4 linked regions of the Saccharomyces cerevisiae S288C genome follow. The protein of the gene in region 1 binds, or shares a complex with, the protein of each later gene. Each region holds a gene or a part of one and is shown in the gene's direction. Other genes may lie near its edges. The genes, in order: HHF1, HST2, HAT1 and GCN5.

Region 1 (3,972 bases):
AGTGACAACATATAAAAGGAAGTAAGATACAATAATATTATTATGTATAACTATCGATTTCCTTTTGTGGATTCCTATATCCTCGAAAAGAACTTCTAGTATAATCTGTGTACCTAATATTACAGCCTTTGAAAACAATGGAATCCCAACAATTATCTTATTCCCATAATTCTCATATACAAGATACAAGGGAGAAGTAAACAATGGATACAAGGAGAAATATGGCGCTAAAGGCTGATTTAATTGGATTGTTCGATTCGAAGTCGCTCAATAGAATTTGATGGCTCCCTCAGAGTGCGGTTCAAATCATTCGGATACTTTGAAGAAAGGGTAATATATTGTACCTTTGAACATGAGTTCATGAGTTGAAAAAGGTAAAAATAATCTGCTAAAATGATTACTCTTCTCTAAGAATGTGGTCTTCCCCACCCACGTGATAGTAATACATAGGAACCGTTTTACTGAACGCTACATTACCCATCAATATAATATCATGATTTAGCCGCCGAATTTTATGTAACTAAAAGGTTGCGGGACTTTGAAGCCCAGGTAGAAGTGTTTCATTCACAGAAGGAGATGCCAATGTGCTATTATTATCCCTGTGTGGCGCACTATTCAAACGGATTTGACTGTTCTTCAAAATATCGTCATCGCAGACGCTAAGGTTGTTGGGAGAAGCCACAGTCATTAGATACGATAGTCTCATGATGACTTTTTCTCGTTTTTTTTCGACGTTTTAAGGTCGCGTCGAAGTTAGGAAGGTTAGTTCATTTACAACTTGTTTTTGAATACTTACTTTCTTAATCATCTATTTTGATTTGTTGTCCCTTAGGTCTATAGAACAGGATATCCCGCCGCGCAATTTACTAATGACCTACACTACCAGACAAATTGGTGCCAAGAACACCTTGGAATACAAAGTTTATATCGAAAAGGATGGTAAGCCAGTTTCTGCCTTCCACGACATTCCCTTGTACGCTGACAAGGAAAACAACATTTTCAACATGGTTGTTGAAATTCCACGTTGGACCAACGCCAAGTTAGAAATCACCAAGGAAGAAACTTTGAACCCAATCATCCAAGACACCAAGAAGGGCAAGTTGAGATTTGTTAGAAACTGTTTCCCTCACCATGGTTACATTCACAACTATGGTGCTTTCCCACAAACTTGGGAAGACCCAAACGTAAGCCACCCAGAAACTAAGGCAGTTGGTGACAACGATCCAATTGATGTGTTGGAAATTGGTGAAACTATTGCTTACACTGGTCAAGTCAAGCAAGTTAAGGCTCTAGGTATCATGGCTTTATTGGATGAAGGTGAGACCGATTGGAAAGTTATTGCCATTGATATTAACGATCCATTAGCCCCAAAATTGAACGACATTGAGGATGTTGAGAAATACTTCCCAGGTCTGTTGAGGGCTACTAACGAATGGTTCAGAATTTACAAAATCCCAGATGGTAAGCCAGAAAACCAATTTGCCTTCTCCGGTGAAGCTAAGAACAAGAAGTACGCTTTGGATATCATCAAGGAAACACATGACTCCTGGAAACAATTAATTGCTGGTAAGTCTTCTGACAGCAAGGGTATTGATTTGACCAATGTTACTTTGCCTGACACCCCAACCTACTCCAAGGCTGCCTCTGATGCCATCCCACCAGCTTCTCCAAAGGCAGATGCTCCAATTGACAAGTCTATTGACAAGTGGTTCTTCATCTCCGGTTCTGTTTAAAATATTTTGAATTGAAAATGAGACACCTACCACGTATGCGGCTTCAAGTTGTTTAATATGTAGCTATATATCGATTATATAACTGACTCATGAATGAATATCTTCCTGCTGCAATTTTTCTTTAACCACATGGAAAGCCATAAATCTTGCCTCCTACAAGGCCTGGCTTTTTTCGAGGGTATCGCCAGGAAAAACAAATCAATAAATGTAAAACAAATAGAACCCTATTTTTTTTTATTAAAACCTATATTTTTGTAATAAAAAATAACTATTATACAACTGTTAAAGAACCCAGTAAACCTAAATATATTGATTTATATTTTATTGTGTTTTTGTTCGTTTTTTACTAAAACTGATGACAATCAACAAACTATGATCTTTCACCTCTTAATCTTCTAGCCAACTTGATATCCTTCTTTTGGATAGTGACACGCTTGGCGTGAATGGCAGCCAAGTTGGTATCTTCAAATAAAGAGACTAAGTAGGCTTCGACAGATTCTTGCAAGGCACCGATGGCAGAAGATTGAAATCTCAAGTCGGTCTTGAAATCTTGAGCGATTTCTCTGACCAATCTTTGGAAAGGCAACTTTCTGATCAACAGTTCAGTAGATTTTTGGAATCTTCTGATTTCTCTCAAAGCAACAGTACCTGGCTTATATCTGTGAGGCTTCTTAACACCACCGGTAGATGGGGCGGATTTTCTGGCAGCCTTAGAAGCTAATTGCTTTCTTGGGGCCTTACCACCAGTGGACTTTCTTGCTGTTTGCTTTGTTCTGGCCATTGTTTGCGTTTATATATTTATGTTAGATGTTTTTCTTATTAACTAGAAAGAAAGAATATAAAAGGTTGAGGAAAGAGATGTATCCCGAAGAATACACAGTCTTTTATATATGTATTTCAACAAGGAGCCGTGGAGGGTACCAAAAAGAAAAATCGCCCGGGCATTTCGTTATCTTCCACGCTAAAAGTCAAGGAGAGATATTACGGCCAGGATCGCAAAGGTGCAGAGCAAGGAAATGTGAGAAATTGTGAGAACGATAATGTATGGGACAATGCGAAAATGTGAGAACGAGAGCAAAAATCTTTTTTGTATCTCCCCGCCGAATTTGGAAACCGCGTTCTGAAAACTTCGCATCTTCACATAGTAAAACTGTTCCGAGCGCTTCTCCCCATAATGGTTAGTGGTAAAAACCGAAGTTGTTTACTTTAGCAAATGCCCGCGAATACGGTGGTAAATTGCCACCCCCCCTTCCCCATTCATTGGGTAAAGACCAATTTGATGGATAAATTGGTTGTGGAAAAGGTCTAATTCTTTTTCCTATAAATACCGAGATATTTTTTCTATATGATGGTTTCCGTCGCATTATTGTACTCTATAGTACTAAAGCAACAAACAAAAACAAGCAACAAATATAATATAGTAAAATATGTCCGGTAGAGGTAAAGGTGGTAAAGGTCTAGGTAAAGGTGGTGCCAAGCGTCACAGAAAGATTCTAAGAGATAACATCCAAGGTATTACTAAGCCAGCTATCAGAAGATTAGCTAGAAGAGGTGGTGTCAAGCGTATTTCTGGTTTGATCTACGAAGAAGTCAGAGCTGTCTTGAAATCCTTCTTGGAATCCGTCATCAGAGACTCTGTTACCTACACCGAACACGCCAAGAGAAAGACTGTTACTTCTTTGGATGTTGTTTATGCTTTGAAGAGACAAGGTAGAACCTTATACGGTTTCGGTGGTTAATTTAGCTAATTCTAAGAAAACGGTAACAACAAGCAAATATTTGGGATTCGTATTCAACTGCCCGGTTTTTCTTCTACAAATATGAGTGTATTATAGCGGGTTTAGGAGAAATATGTACAATTATAAACATATAAAGGGTATTTAATTTAATTTTAATTGGGTTTAAACAGTTTGATTATTTCTGCTACTTACCGAACTTGCATGGAATAGGGATCGCTTGTCTGTAACTTACACGCGCCTCGTATTTTTTAATGATGGAATAATTTGGGAATTTACTCTGTGTTTATTTATTTTTATGTTTTGTATTTGGATTTTAGAAAGTAAATAAAGAAGGTAGAAGAGTTACGGAATGAAGAAAAAAAAATAAACAAAGGTTTAAAAAATTTCAACAAAAAGCGTACTTTACATATATATTTATTAGACAAGAAAAGCAGATTAAATAGATATACATTCGATTAATGATAAGTAAAATGAAAAATCACAGGATTTTCGTGTGTGGT
Region 2 (4,707 bases), on another chromosome or scaffold:
GGGAGCACAACCTAGCGAAACAGTTACTAAACTATTACGAAAGGCTGGTATATTAAATGATGCATGGGCCACTAGTAAGAACAGCAATGTGAATAGGAAAGTTGTATTTGAAAGAATGGAAACATTGGAGTGAAAAAGATCGGAAAAAAAAAAAAAAAGAAAAAGAAAGGAAAGCAAAGGAACGTGTTTTAATTGATGCGAGGTGTATATGTATATGTTGTATATATGTTTTACTTGGCGCTTTTATATCTATCAGACTTGTAAATAATACATCTATGGCCAACCAGAAAATGGAGAATGAGACTTGAAATGGAATAAATTAAATTCTTAATCGAATGTGAAGAAAAGAGAAAGTGTAATAGAATTTCATTAAGATAGTGTCATTATAGGTCATGTATTGTGTGCTCCTGACTGTTCGGCACTATTTACCTTTTAAGACGCAATAAATCTCTTTTTAGCTTCAATGATTCATTTGGTAAAATAGAGGATTCTTCAGTGGACACGTTTGCTGTAGGTAAACGAGTACTAGCTAAGGGGGACGATATGATATTGCTACGTTGTCTCGATAGCAGAGCTATGTTAAAATTAAATGCGGAATCTGTTGTAGGCGTTGGCGTGAGTAAAGAAAAGGCATTACTGTTGCTAACACTATTGTTAGAATTTGTGCGGGCTAAGATAGGTTGTGGTTGTAATTCTGAAATATACTGGGACGAGCCATTTCTATTCTTCATTGAGACGTTGGATCTTTGTAAGGAATACCAGTTCAACGTGTTGGTCAGGCTGGTAGTAGAGCTTACATTCGGATTCGAGTTTGTGTTTGATAAGGGGATTGGATCGGTAATATCTGCGTTAACAAACGGGGAGGGAACTCTAAGCATTTCAGAAAACTGTGGTGGGGGTGGTGGGGGTAAAGAAGTTAAAGAAGTGTTACGAGAAAGATAGCCGTCTTTTCTGACCTCTTGCAACAAGCGCTGTCTTACCAATGTTAAAAGCCAGCTATTTCTGTCACATCCGATATCCAATTGTTGAAGCTCAGATTGCTGTATAGCCGCTTTGGCAACTCTATTCAATATTCCTGAGGGAGGGTTTGTAGTATCAAACGGAGTTATCGTAGGATCGCTGCACGTGTTTTGGTAAACTTCTAATAGAAGGCCGACAAACTGCGGTGTGAACGAAGTGAATTGAGCGTTATTGTTGTAAAAGGTATGTTGTTTGAAATTCTGAGCGAAATCGGAAACGGAACTCGCCAGCGAAGAGGCGCTATTCTGTCTGGTTCTATTAGCATTGAGGTAAGGTGGAAAATACGAGGCATCCGAGCTTTTCGCCTGATTGGAGCTGCTATTATTTATAGGAGTCATTACCGGAGTGAAAACGGGAGTGGACAAGTTTCTGTCAAATGCAATCATGTCATCGTAATCACAATTTAACAACGGCTGAGGGTCCTGAGTTTGATGTTGAGCTTCTGGTTGGATGGGCAACGCGTCTTCGGGCTTGCAATTCTTGTCCTTATTTTCTTGAGATCGCCTAGAAGAGCCGGCGTGTAATCTCTTGTGCAATCTTTCCAGCAGCATTCTATATCCTATTAAACTGGTTCTAGTTCGCTTTACTAAGAAGGGAATTACAGGTTGAAGCTAGGGGGAGGAAAATACACGCTTCTATAATAGCATTCTTATATATGTTTATCTACAAGGGAAATAGAGCTATACGAAAAAAATAGAAACAGAGACAGCAACAGGAAACAGAAACAGAAACAAAAACAGAACTTTGTTTAAAGTTCGGAGTTCAAGCGTCATTTCTACACTAGTTCTTGATGAGACCTAATGAGTTTGACGTGCCTATCCAGATTGGGTGACGCGTAAAGGAGTATACCTCCTTTTTTCGCTTCACTTGAGCTTAAAATGACCATTTCTATTTCCCAAAGTGGGCATATGTCTTCCCCCTGCGCGAGTTCCGGAGTGGCAAAAAAATGTAGTAAGAAGCCGCCCTTCCCGCGCCGTTTTCCTTACGGAGGCGTCTCCCGCCCTACGCAGAGGCCCCCTGCCTGCGTGCTTTCTGCCGTCCAGCTATGGCCCAGCATTAACTCTGTTAGCTTCGCCGATCTTAAGAATAAGGAATAGACCACATTCTCTGCATGTGTTTCCATCTTTCGTAACTGTCTCTGTATCAGTAAATGTCGCTATCTGTGCCCGTCACTGAGCTACCAACCAGACGTACCGCGATCTCTCCGTGTTTCGATGTCTGTTTCTACCGCCTCTACAGAGATGTCGGTTAGGAAGATCGCTGCTCATATGAAAAGCAACCCCAACGCTAAAGTAATCTTTATGGTGGGTGCCGGGATATCCACTTCTTGTGGGATACCAGACTTCCGATCTCCGGGAACTGGCCTGTACCATAACTTGGCCAGGTTGAAGTTGCCGTACCCTGAAGCAGTGTTCGATGTCGATTTTTTCCAATCGGATCCTTTGCCATTTTACACTTTGGCTAAAGAGTTGTATCCCGGAAATTTCAGACCTTCTAAGTTTCACTATCTTTTGAAATTGTTTCAAGACAAAGACGTTTTGAAGAGAGTATATACCCAGAATATAGACACTTTAGAAAGACAGGCCGGTGTTAAGGATGATCTGATCATCGAGGCCCATGGCAGTTTTGCTCACTGTCATTGTATCGGATGTGGTAAAGTTTATCCCCCACAGGTTTTCAAATCCAAGCTGGCAGAGCATCCTATAAAGGATTTTGTCAAGTGTGATGTGTGCGGTGAACTGGTAAAGCCGGCAATAGTTTTTTTTGGCGAAGATCTACCGGATTCCTTTTCGGAAACTTGGTTAAACGATTCAGAGTGGCTTCGTGAAAAAATCACGACATCTGGAAAACATCCTCAGCAGCCTCTTGTCATCGTCGTTGGCACCTCACTAGCCGTTTATCCCTTTGCGTCTCTGCCCGAAGAAATTCCTCGAAAGGTAAAAAGAGTTCTGTGCAATTTGGAAACGGTGGGCGATTTTAAAGCTAACAAGAGGCCTACAGATTTAATAGTTCATCAGTACTCGGATGAGTTTGCCGAGCAACTCGTTGAAGAATTAGGTTGGCAAGAAGATTTCGAAAAGATACTTACGGCCCAAGGTGGAATGGGGGATAACTCTAAAGAGCAATTACTTGAAATTGTACATGATTTAGAGAATTTGAGTTTGGATCAATCTGAACATGAGAGTGCAGACAAGAAGGATAAGAAGCTACAGCGTCTCAATGGCCATGACAGCGATGAAGATGGAGCAAGCAACTCCTCTTCTTCACAAAAAGCCGCTAAAGAATAATGTGTTGGTTGCAATGTTTTCCGTCCCCCTTTTTTTTTCCTTATTCATCTAGCATGCGCGGCAATTTGATAGTTTAAAAATAAAAGAGACGCGTAATTGAGCTTGGCTTTCCTACGCGTTTGACATTGCATACATATTCTTTCCCCCCACCCCCTTATAGATATCGAAAAATTTGTAAGCTCTGACGTGCAATTCTACTTTAGCCAATTAGGTTTGATAAAAAATACGGCGCCAGCTGACTTTTTTCTCTTTCTGGATAAGTACTCAGAATATATAGATAAGTAGAATGGGTTCCCGAACCGTCAATGCAGCCAATTCATCTCAATACTGCGCCGAACAGCTTCTGAAGCGATCTTGACTTTGTGGGCAGCTTGAAATTTTCTTGGATGATTCTGTCCTATTTGAGCTTTACCTCCTCCCATCGAAAGGGCGAAGTCACACCGTTTTCAAAGGTGGAGTGTTACCCCACCCCCCACGCTGACTCCACATCTGACTCTCTACCGTTTTATTATAGCGAACGTTAACTCTGAATGTATGTGTGGTGTGTATGAATTGTATTTACTGCCTGAAATGGAGTCATAAACTCCTTTATACAATTTCAAGGAATTTTTGTAGCCGCGACGGGACCAGTGGGAAGTTACTAAAACCATTGTTTAGTTGAGCCGCCCAAGATGTGACTTCATGGCAGCTATACGTTCATTTGGGCTTTTGGCACTAAAGGCGCTCTTCCGACTGTATTGTTTCCATAAGGTCTATTATATTAGTTACAACATTTTATATAGGTTTATAAAAAGAAAATAGTGCGCAAGGAAGAAATAAGCAGTAAAAGAATATTGTTTAAAAAAATCGCATCATTCCAAATTGGTTAGGATATCATTTTTTAAATTGTAAAGTAATTGATACTGGTTTATTATTTGAATATCAACTGATGGATTAGTGAATAACTGGAAAATTTCTAAATCCGTGGGGAACAAATTTGGAATCGATGCTATTTTTTTTAATATTTCCGGGTCGTTGTTTAGGCAGTTTTCAAAACAAATACTTTTTTCAACCAAACATTTGATTAACTGAACACAGGATATGTTAATTGACGGTAGGAGCACCTTTGAATAATTTTGTTGCTGTAACAAAGTATTCTTACTTGTGGAATTGTTAATATTCAATATTATCTCACTTAACTTCAATAGTCCAGATCCAATATTTTCTTCAGAGCTCAACCACACAAATGGTAAATTCTTGTTGAAATTGAAGCTAGAATCTTTGTTGCCGTTATTGTTACTGTTACTGTCTGAATTATTCTCACTGATTTCAAATACTTCATTGGATAACGGCAATATTTTTTGTACAATGACTAAGATGCTAGTTAGACTCTGAGAAATTACCGGAGAAAATTGGTCGA
Region 3 (4,659 bases), on another chromosome or scaffold:
TGGCTTCTAAACAGCTAGAATATGAGGAAAATGACCTTAGAAAGACGTTACAGCAACCTCAGTATGATTGGACCCGCTTCTCGGTGGTGATCTTGACTTGTATTGGTGAGCAAACTGCGATGCTCGATTTAAATGAGATTAGGCGGCAGAGAGGAACAAAGTTTCCGCCTGTTCTAAACACTTTCGTCTCTGGATTTTATGGATATATATATCTGGTACTCTCAGAAACACATTTTGTTTTGCAAGCACACCCAGATAGTAAGAAGTATGATTTACGGTTACAGAACCCTTGGCCTGAACTAATAAATTACGTAGATACATTTGACCTAAGTAAAATGGATACAGCCACGTTTTCTGGTATTCCATATACTGTTTTGCTCATGAAGTGTATTGCAAAACTTGAAAGGGATGGTAATAATGGGAGGATAACGATTGATCAGATGAAGAAAGTTTTAGACCAAATTTGCCTTCCTTTAGGGAATGATGTTATCTACGAACCCAATTATGTGGAAGCTAAACGCTATGCTTACTTGGCCTGCTCTCAAAATGATTGTTGTAAAGAACTGGAAGATCTGCTCCGAAATTTGGAAATATCAGATTATGGGAACGATTGGCATGATACTTATAACTACGAGATTCTCACACTATTATTGACTTTGAAAAATATTGCTAAAGAGAATGGGGAGCTCAGCTTTCAACCTTTAACGGGCACTCTCCCAGATATGGAGTCAACAACGGAAAATTATATCAGACTCAAGAAACTGTATGAAGTAAAAGCAAAGCTTGACAAGTCTCGTGTGGAGGAAAGTTTGGCTCGCAGTAAAAAAATAGTTTCACAGGATGTCTTGGAGACATTTTGTTCTCATTACGGGGAGGTCAGGAAAATATTGCCGCCAAAAAGTGACTTGTTAGGTATTTTTAGCACCTCGAATGCCCTTTTAGATGCATTAGTTATGGTCCAATTCTGGGAGCAACCGGCAGTAACTGCAGAGGATAAAGATGAGTTTATTGGTTTACGAGTCGACGATAACTATTCCGTAATGGCCTTTTTTGGAGGTGCAGTGGTTCAAGAGGCTATAAAGCTTATCACACACCATTACGTTCCTATTGATAACCTATTTTTATATAATGGCATTAATAATTCATCCGCAACATATAAAATATAAAATTTTTTCGTCAGCTCTCCGAGTTCATAGAATGCTTATTTTATTGTACTTCCCTGGTTTGCGTTGATGCAAATAAAGACTAAATGTAAACTTTTATGATGCATATGATATCGAATGTTTACAACAACGAGAGATCACCGGTAAGAACTGTGCTCAATAAAATACAACATCGATAAATACTTAACGCTCATCCACCATTCCTGTTCAAGTCAACTATCTCACAGTTGCCTCGTAATCCAAGAGGGATCCCAATACAACGCCTCTGCACCACCTTGATAATCAATCCACAATAAACCGTTAGCGACCATTTCATCAAGAGCAGATTTACTCCTAACAGCCTCCCATCCCAAGTTTGCCTTTAATAAAGAGATACTTGAGTAGCCCAGAATTGAGCATATTTCCAAAATCTTTGTTTGATCTGATGTCAACTCATTTGGAACACTTCGTAAAAACTTTTTGCCGCGAATTTGAAATATCTCAAAACACTCTAGGCTCTTTAGCATGTCGATAGATTTTTCCAAATCATCGAGTCCAACATTCAGCTTACGAAAATGCACCTTCTCCAACTCTTGAAAAGAAATGACGCCTCCATTCATATCTTTAGTTTGCCGACAAATTTCTATAACTTTAAGACATACTTCATAATAAAAATCATTCACTGTAAATAAGTGCTTATCTCGATCAAATAAAGATAGGGGATCAATCCCAATAGATGAGCACATATGCATGAATTTTGAGCGGAATTCAGGTGAAGCTTGAAGCTCGCTATTGTGTTTCTTGGCAAATTCTACCAGTCGTTCTTGGAATACCATTAATTGGTCCCTTAGTTCGACAGATTGCTTTTCAAGTATGGTTTTGTTTACGTCATTGTACTTTCCATCCTTCAACTCGTCAAAGGCTGCCAGTCCAAACTGTTTCATGTTAGTGAGTTTCGAAGTTGGCTGTTACGCCAAGCATTTTCAAGTCGTGGTAAAGTCTTTGGTCTACTGCATCGCCTCAAAAGGTTATAATATATCCCAGAATTGATGGATTAAGTTCTTGAAATAGCACACCGTTATAAGTGATAAATATATTGTCTTCGAATAACGAATTTATTAGATTTCTATGTATTTCTACTTGAAGTTAGGAATAGATCTTTCTGGAATTGTTTTCAGCAAAATTATGCTTAAGCTATAACTATAGTGAGAATCAAGAATATGTCTGCCAATGATTTCAAGCCTGAAACGTGGACTTCAAGCGCCAACGAAGCCTTAAGAGTTTCTATAGTTGGAGAAAACGCTGTTCAGTTTTCACCATTATTCACGTATCCAATTTACGGTGACTCCGAAAAGATCTACGGCTATAAGGATCTCATCATCCACCTAGCATTTGATTCAGTAACATTCAAGCCGTATGTTAACGTCAAGTATTCAGCAAAATTAGGAGACGACAATATTGTAGACGTGGAAAAAAAATTACTCTCATTTCTACCAAAGGATGATGTAATTGTTAGGGATGAAGCTAAATGGGTAGATTGCTTTGCAGAAGAACGAAAAACACATAATTTATCTGATGTTTTTGAAAAAGTATCAGAGTATTCGTTGAATGGGGAAGAATTTGTTGTATATAAATCGAGTTTGGTTGACGATTTTGCCAGGAGAATGCATCGTCGTGTTCAAATCTTTTCATTACTTTTTATCGAAGCCGCTAACTATATAGATGAGACTGACCCGAGTTGGCAAATCTATTGGTTGTTGAACAAGAAAACAAAAGAATTGATTGGTTTCGTCACTACTTACAAGTATTGGCACTACCTTGGAGCAAAATCTTTCGATGAGGATATAGATAAAAAATTCAGAGCCAAAATATCTCAATTTCTGATCTTTCCACCTTATCAAAATAAAGGCCACGGATCCTGTCTTTATGAGGCTATAATCCAATCTTGGCTAGAAGACAAAAGTATTACTGAAATTACTGTAGAGGATCCAAACGAAGCATTTGACGATCTTCGCGACAGGAATGATATTCAAAGACTGCGAAAACTTGGTTATGATGCTGTCTTTCAGAAGCACTCCGACCTTTCTGATGAGTTTTTGGAGTCAAGCCGAAAATCTTTAAAACTGGAAGAAAGACAGTTTAATCGTCTTGTGGAAATGCTTCTTCTTTTAAACAATTCTCCATCATTTGAATTAAAGGTAAAGAATAGGTTGTACATTAAAAATTATGATGCCCTAGATCAAACTGATCCAGAAAAGGCAAGAGAAGCTTTACAAAATTCATTTATTTTAGTCAAAGATGATTATAGGCGTATTATAGAGTCGATAAATAAATCTCAAGGTTAACTGTTTATTAAATATATAATAACATATTTATTTGTTTAACAAGCCTGAAATAAGAAATTCTTTTATAAATACATCATCGAGATGATCATCAAAGTGTCTCTATAGTTAATATAAGCTTATGCAAAGGTTGAAGCCGTTATGTTGTCGTAATTCTAAATTACAGGTTATATTAAAGAGATTATCTTGACTGATATAAAATTTCTTATCATGGTAGTGATCACAAATAGATCACATGATATATTTTTTATTTTTAATTTTTTTTAATTATAAAAATAATTTTTTTCTTTAAATTAAACAAAAATAAAAAATTGTTTTTTGTTGGTTAAGATTTCCGAAAATAGAAATATTATTCAGTTGAAAGACAAAAAAACATAAATATTTCTATGAGCAAACAATTTGAACAGAAAAATAAAATTGGGGAAGTGACACACCATGGTAGCGGTTCTAAAGCGAAATCGGCAAAGCGGCTAAATAGCAGTTTTGATGACTTACTCCACACTGAAAATGGATGACCTTAAATAGGAGATAAAGCTTTTTCATCCCTATGTATTTAAGATGACTGGCTTGTCAAGCATTCTAATCATAAAAAAAAGATCGTATTTGATCAAGAATTTATACATAGACGCCGCTAAATAATTGAATACAAAATGGTACAAAGGCTTCTACCGGGCGCACATATATGCAGAAGGTCCTTCAATTCGTCTGCAATTATAAAGTCTTCTGCATTGACTCTCAAGGAAGCATTAGAAAACGTGATACCTAAGAAAAGAGATGCTGTGAAGAAATTGAAGGCCTGTTATGGCAGCACGTTTGTCGGACCGATTACCATTTCATCAGTTCTAGGTGGGATGAGAGGTAATCAGTCAATGTTTTGGCAAGGAACATCATTAGATCCCGAACATGGCATTAAATTTCAAGGTTTAACGATTGAAGAATGTCAAAATAGATTACCTAATACAGGTATTGATGGCGATAATTTCCTGCCAGAATCAATGTTATGGCTGTTGATGACAGGTGGTGTGCCAACTTTCCAGCAAGCTGCTTCTTTCAGGAAAGAATTGGCTATTCGTGGAAGGAAATTGCCACATTATACAGAGAAAGTTTTGTCAAGTTTACCCAAAGATATGCACCCTATGACCCAACTTGCAATTGGTTTAGCATCAATGAACAAA
Region 4 (4,727 bases), on another chromosome or scaffold:
CAATTTTACGTCTTCGGCTAGTAATCGGATCAGCGGGAGAAACATCGTACGTACACAAGAGAATACCGAGAGTGTCGATTAATCAACCACGCTCCATGAGGCTTATCCGCATTCTACTTGCATGTTAGCCGGGAAAAGACATAAATCATCTCAATTCTCTAGAATACTCTAGAGATTATGTAAAAGCGTAGCCCCGTAGATGATTAAATAATTTTCGGTTTCTTACCCCGTAACCACGAGTTGCGGTGTTTTTGCTTCTATCGGGGCAATAAGCGGGCGCTGCTTCTCGGGAATGTAAAAACTGTGCTTCCTACCATGAAGTAGTTGGATCTTGAAATGGGTTGGGCCGGAACAATATGCAAGTACTACAATCCTTGTATTCCCATATGATTATATTCCCCTTTGCATAGGCTAGTGTTTTTTTTTTCGTTCTTTTGTTTCTTCCGCTAGGAATAGTAGTGGCGATCTGCAGAAAGACGCTCTAAGGAAAAAGAGAGAATTTCGATCAGTCCCGTACACATTACTCTTGGGAAGTTCAATTCCTTCGGACGTAATCCACATACGAACTTGGCTCTCATCTGTTGTCTTCAAGCTGTTGCGGCCCTCCTCTTTCTCTCTGTTGTACACATTTTTTGACTTTCAAAAATATGCCGCTAAGGAAACATAACCCTTGTGTATGTGAGCTTGTAGCATATGATATAGTGCTCATTGGCATGTGACAAGAATTGCGTATGTAATTGAAGTTTGTAGTGTAATTTACGAAAATAGCCGCCCTTCTTCTTCATTAACGATTATTGAGCGTAATGATATAAGATACAACGGTTTATTTAGGGCTGCATCCATGAAAATACTTTGTAATAGTGAGTCGTCGCCTTGTTTGTTTATTCAATACAATGCAGTGTCTCTATAGTCTCCTCCTTTAGTTTCACTATCTTTTCTAACCGCCGAAGATATACGAGTGTTCTGAACGAAAAACGACCTTTTCAAACATAGAATATAATTGTATATATACATATACATATATGATACGCAGCCACATTCGTAGTATCTTTAAGACACTGCCTTTCAAAAAAGCTTTGGTATTTTGAAAGAAGATCGAAGCCAAGGAACCAGGACTACAATGAATTAGACGCTACAAAGTTTCTTAATTGGAAAACAAGGAGGGACAAGGAGGAGACTTTTACAGTAAACCAGAATGCTCCTTCACTGTTCAGTTATGTAATGTTATTGTTTGGAAGATCTGAAGAGAGGCATTTCCTACAACCTCTTGAATAAAATAGTGGAAGGCATTTACACAAAGAAGCCGTGCCACTTTGGTCCGGATTTTTTTTACCTAAAATCGTCTTAAATTGGCCTGTTCGATAGCTGTCATTTGTTTTAGATATTTATTTCCTAACGTCAGCTTTAGTTACAGTATGTATGTATCAACCTTTTAGTAAGACAATAATGATTGCATGTTTGATCCTGCTTTAAAGGCATTGGAAGTAACCGTAGTGGCCGCTGTTTCTTCTTGACGGCCTGTAATTGACCTGCGACGCGGGCAATTTCTAGCGATGAGATTGGAAAAACTAACGCATAAAAAAGATTTCAAGATTTATAAGATGTTGAAACAAATCCTCTTCTCACATCTACAGTTGATACAGTATACCGTATTATCTTTCCTCGGTAGTGTTCAGAATGAGTAGGGCCAAAGAATTACAAGAGAAGCTCAACTTGCAAGCGAAACTCCAGTCTACTTTCAGTAACAATACTGCTGCAGTTTTGGACTGGCTGAAAGAATCAGATGAAACCGGCATTAGCAATGATACAGAGCGTAACAAACAGTTAAAAGATCACAAGGAGTTGGAGGATGGTAAGAAGGCATTTTTCAAGCTTCCCGTTTTGCAGATTGGATCGGGCCTACACTTCCGCACACAAGATGACGCTTCCGCCAAAGAAGATATACATACGATTGGTGAGTTTATTGAGGGTGATAAAAAGGTAAGTTCGTTGGCAAAGAAAAAGAAAAGAAGTGACCCAGGGTTGCAACGAAATAATATGTACAGGATCACTAAAGATGATACGAAAGCCATGATTGCGCTTAAAAGAAAAATGAGGAAAGGCGAGAAGGAAGGACTAAGGAAGAAACAAGAGCATAGCAAAAGCAGCGTTTCGAACTCATATAGTGCCAGTGATGAAGAGGATGAAGATGCAGGGACAATGCCGCAAAAGTCCACAAAAAAAAAATTTGGTTTACTTTTTGATAAAAAAAAGAAGGCACGTAAATAATCTTAAACACTTATGGGCAGCAAAAAATGCGTCTTTCTTCCCTCGTCTGTTGTTTTATGTAGGGCGTAATGATGTTTGCTTGTCAACAAATGAATACGTACAGAAGAGAATTCTAGCCAAGGCAATTATTGCATACTGCAAGTACTGAGTACGTTAACGTTGCTAGAATAACATTAAATGAGATGTAGCAATGCAGATCCTTCCTCAGTAGGCTTAATGCTCCACTAGAATTTTTGACCAGCCACTATTTGCTTTTTTCGCAATCCTTTTCAATACTCGAGAGCAAAGACAAAAAAAATAAGACATGTAGTGCGCTGTATGGAAAAGAATTAATTAGAACTTTACAAACGCGTGTTAAACAGGCATATTTAAGTGTTTGGACCTAAACAATATATCGACTATTGAAATTCTTACGCAAGATTTTTTATAGTTGGATATTCATATATTCTTACAACTCTCTCTACTTTCAGTTTTTTGAAGCTATATGTATCATTATATACGTTTATGGATTTTTCAAACCTAAACAATTATACTGCGTAAATGTTTGATTAAGCAATAAATAAAAACAAAGGATTGGTAAGGGAAGACCGTGAGCCGCCCAAAAGTCTTCAGTTAACTCAGGTTCGTATTCTACATTAGATGGTCACAAAACATCAGATTGAAGAGGATCACTTGGATGGAGCTACGACGGATCCCGAAGTTAAACGGGTAAAATTAGAAAACAACGTTGAAGAAATACAACCTGAGCAGGCTGAGACCAATAAACAAGAGGGCACCGATAAAGAGAATAAAGGAAAGTTCGAGAAAGAAACTGAGAGAATAGGAGGATCTGAAGTGGTTACAGATGTGGAAAAAGGAATTGTCAAATTTGAATTTGATGGTGTTGAATACACATTCAAAGAGAGACCCAGTGTCGTAGAGGAAAATGAAGGTAAAATTGAGTTTAGGGTGGTGAATAATGATAATACTAAAGAAAACATGATGGTCCTAACTGGATTAAAAAACATTTTTCAAAAGCAATTACCAAAAATGCCCAAAGAATACATTGCCAGGTTAGTCTATGATCGAAGTCATCTTTCCATGGCTGTCATTAGGAAGCCATTGACTGTCGTAGGTGGCATAACATATCGACCTTTCGATAAGAGAGAATTCGCAGAAATTGTTTTCTGTGCCATCAGTTCGACGGAACAGGTACGCGGTTATGGTGCGCATCTAATGAATCACTTAAAAGACTATGTTAGAAATACCTCGAACATAAAATATTTTTTGACATATGCAGATAATTACGCTATTGGATACTTTAAAAAGCAAGGCTTCACTAAAGAAATCACGTTGGATAAAAGTATATGGATGGGATATATTAAAGATTATGAAGGTGGTACGCTGATGCAATGTTCTATGTTACCAAGAATACGATATTTGGACGCAGGTAAGATTCTATTATTACAAGAAGCGGCCCTGCGAAGAAAAATAAGAACGATTTCGAAATCGCATATTGTAAGGCCTGGTTTAGAGCAATTCAAAGACTTAAACAATATCAAACCGATTGATCCAATGACTATTCCTGGCTTGAAAGAAGCCGGCTGGACTCCCGAGATGGATGCGTTGGCACAACGTCCCAAGCGTGGTCCACACGATGCAGCAATACAGAATATACTCACAGAGCTACAAAATCATGCAGCAGCTTGGCCCTTCTTACAACCCGTTAATAAAGAGGAGGTCCCCGACTATTATGATTTTATCAAAGAGCCAATGGACTTGAGCACCATGGAAATAAAATTAGAGAGCAACAAATATCAGAAGATGGAAGACTTCATATATGATGCCAGATTGGTGTTTAACAATTGCCGAATGTACAATGGCGAGAATACGTCGTATTACAAGTATGCTAATAGGCTAGAGAAATTCTTCAATAATAAAGTAAAAGAAATACCTGAATATTCTCACCTTATTGATTAATGCGTAGAAGAAGCTTTTCCGCTACTATTCCTTTCGAAGAAGAAATAAATGTTTAGTACGGCGAGACGATGTGATCAATTGAGGTTATTTTACTACTTTTCCTTTCATTTTTGTAAGGTTTTCTTTCTTTGTTAGTGTGACGTTGGTATTTACCTTTATGTAACTATATTTATGACATTTCAACATCCGCTTCTTCTGGACTTTCTGCAGCTTCTTTCTCTTTCAACTCTTTTATCAATTCAGCAGTTTTTTCGTTATCATATATTTTGAATCCGTCTTGCTTTGTTATACAACTCAATTGCGCGTTATTTTCATCAAGTTTCTCTTCCATCACTTGCTTTAGGATTTTTAGAACAAGAAGCTCAGCTTCTTTCAAAGTTAAAGAAGAATGCCATTCATTCAATAATTCTGCTTGTGCTCCTTCAGAGCCTGAACCAATGGCTTTGGCATTATAACGGTAAAATGTCCCAGATGGTTCTGCATGGAAAAGTTGATAACCA

What was found.
Region 2: the proteins of HHF1 (region 1) and HST2 are in contact, whole or in part, in a crystal structure (PDB 1Q1A), measured with the Saccharomyces cerevisiae proteins. Residues at the interface, in NP_009563.1 of Saccharomyces cerevisiae: Lys13 (codon at 3,197), Gly14 (codon at 3,200), Gly15 (codon at 3,203), Ala16 (codon at 3,206), Lys17 (codon at 3,209), Arg18 (codon at 3,212), His19 (codon at 3,215), Arg20 (codon at 3,218); in NP_015310.1 of Saccharomyces cerevisiae: Arg45 (codon at 2,367), Tyr52 (codon at 2,388), Glu64 (codon at 2,424), Phe67 (codon at 2,433), His135 (codon at 2,637), Val182 (codon at 2,778), Phe183 (codon at 2,781), Phe184 (codon at 2,784), Gly185 (codon at 2,787), Glu186 (codon at 2,790), Asp187 (codon at 2,793), Leu188 (codon at 2,796), Phe192 (codon at 2,808), Ser193 (codon at 2,811), Ser225 (codon at 2,907), Leu226 (codon at 2,910), Ala227 (codon at 2,913), Val228 (codon at 2,916), Tyr229 (codon at 2,919), Pro230 (codon at 2,922), Ser233 (codon at 2,931), Glu237 (codon at 2,943), Gly253 (codon at 2,991).
Region 3: the proteins of HHF1 (region 1) and HAT1 are in contact, whole or in part, in a crystal structure (PDB 4PSX), measured with the Saccharomyces cerevisiae proteins. Residues at the interface, in NP_009563.1 of Saccharomyces cerevisiae: Lys9 (codon at 3,185), Gly10 (codon at 3,188), Leu11 (codon at 3,191), Gly12 (codon at 3,194), Lys13 (codon at 3,197), Gly14 (codon at 3,200), Gly15 (codon at 3,203), Ala16 (codon at 3,206), Lys17 (codon at 3,209), Arg18 (codon at 3,212), His19 (codon at 3,215); in NP_015324.1 of Saccharomyces cerevisiae: Tyr37 (codon at 2,471), Asp42 (codon at 2,486), Ser43 (codon at 2,489), Glu44 (codon at 2,492), Ile161 (codon at 2,843), Glu162 (codon at 2,846), Ala163 (codon at 2,849), Ala164 (codon at 2,852), Asn165 (codon at 2,855), Ile167 (codon at 2,861), Asp171 (codon at 2,873), Trp174 (codon at 2,882), Tyr194 (codon at 2,942), Tyr196 (codon at 2,948), Lys216 (codon at 3,008), Ser218 (codon at 3,014), Gln219 (codon at 3,017), Glu255 (codon at 3,125), Asp256 (codon at 3,128), Pro257 (codon at 3,131), Asn258 (codon at 3,134).
Region 4: the proteins of HHF1 (region 1) and GCN5 are in contact, whole or in part, in a crystal structure (PDB 1E6I), measured with the Saccharomyces cerevisiae proteins. Residues at the interface, in NP_009563.1 of Saccharomyces cerevisiae: Ala16 (codon at 3,206), Lys17 (codon at 3,209), Arg18 (codon at 3,212), His19 (codon at 3,215), Arg20 (codon at 3,218); in NP_011768.1 of Saccharomyces cerevisiae: Pro351 (codon at 3,958), Phe352 (codon at 3,961), Val356 (codon at 3,973), Val361 (codon at 3,988), Asp363 (codon at 3,994), Tyr364 (codon at 3,997), Phe367 (codon at 4,006), Cys403 (codon at 4,114), Arg404 (codon at 4,117), Met405 (codon at 4,120), Tyr406 (codon at 4,123), Asn407 (codon at 4,126), Gly408 (codon at 4,129), Glu409 (codon at 4,132), Tyr413 (codon at 4,144), Tyr414 (codon at 4,147).

Annotation. Positions count from the first base shown.
Region 1 is NC_001134.8:254,873-258,844, reverse strand, and holds HHF1 (histone H4), read left to right. Parts: upstream 1-3,160; coding exon 3,161-3,472; downstream 3,473-3,972. Other genes in the region: inorganic diphosphatase IPP1, read left to right, coding at 870-1,733; HHT1 (histone H3), read right to left, coding at 2,104-2,514. UniProt on the Saccharomyces cerevisiae protein: Core component of nucleosome. Nucleosomes wrap and compact DNA into chromatin, limiting DNA accessibility to the cellular machineries which require DNA as a template.
Region 2 is NC_001148.4:524,411-529,117, reverse strand, and holds HST2 (histone deacetylase HST2), read left to right. Parts: upstream 1-2,234; coding exon 2,235-3,308; downstream 3,309-4,707. Other genes in the region: mitochondrial 37S ribosomal protein bS16m MRPS16, read left to right, coding at 1-133; CIP1 (Cip1p), read right to left, coding at 426-1,571; SWI1 (Swi1p), read right to left, coding at 4,160-4,707. UniProt on the Saccharomyces cerevisiae protein: NAD-dependent histone deacetylase that is involved in nuclear silencing events. Derepresses subtelomeric silencing and increases repression in nucleolar (rDNA) silencing. Its function is negatively regulated by active nuclear export.
Region 3 is NC_001148.4:552,243-556,901, forward strand, and holds HAT1 (histone acetyltransferase catalytic subunit HAT1), read left to right. Parts: upstream 1-2,362; coding exon 2,363-3,487; downstream 3,488-4,659. Other genes in the region: ULA1 (Ula1p), read left to right, coding at 1-1,166; ESCRT-II subunit protein SNF8, read right to left, coding at 1,385-2,086; citrate (Si)-synthase CIT3, read left to right, coding at 4,135-4,659. UniProt on the Saccharomyces cerevisiae protein: Catalytic component of the histone acetylase B (HAT-B) complex. Acetylates 'Lys-12' of free histone H4 in the cytoplasm. The complex is also found in the nucleus, however it is not certain that it modifies histone H4 when packaged in chromatin.
Region 4 is NC_001139.9:993,962-998,688, forward strand, and holds GCN5 (histone acetyltransferase GCN5), read left to right. Parts: upstream 1-2,907; coding exon 2,908-4,227; downstream 4,228-4,727. Other genes in the region: NOP19 (Nop19p), read left to right, coding at 1,678-2,268; PUP2 (proteasome core particle subunit alpha 5), read right to left, coding at 4,397-4,727. UniProt on the Saccharomyces cerevisiae protein: Histone acetyltransferase that acetylates histone H2B to form H2BK11ac and H2BK16ac, histone H3 to form H3K9ac, H3K14ac, H3K18ac, H3K23ac, H3K27ac and H3K36ac, with a lower preference histone H4 to form H4K8ac and H4K16ac, and contributes to H2A.Z acetylation.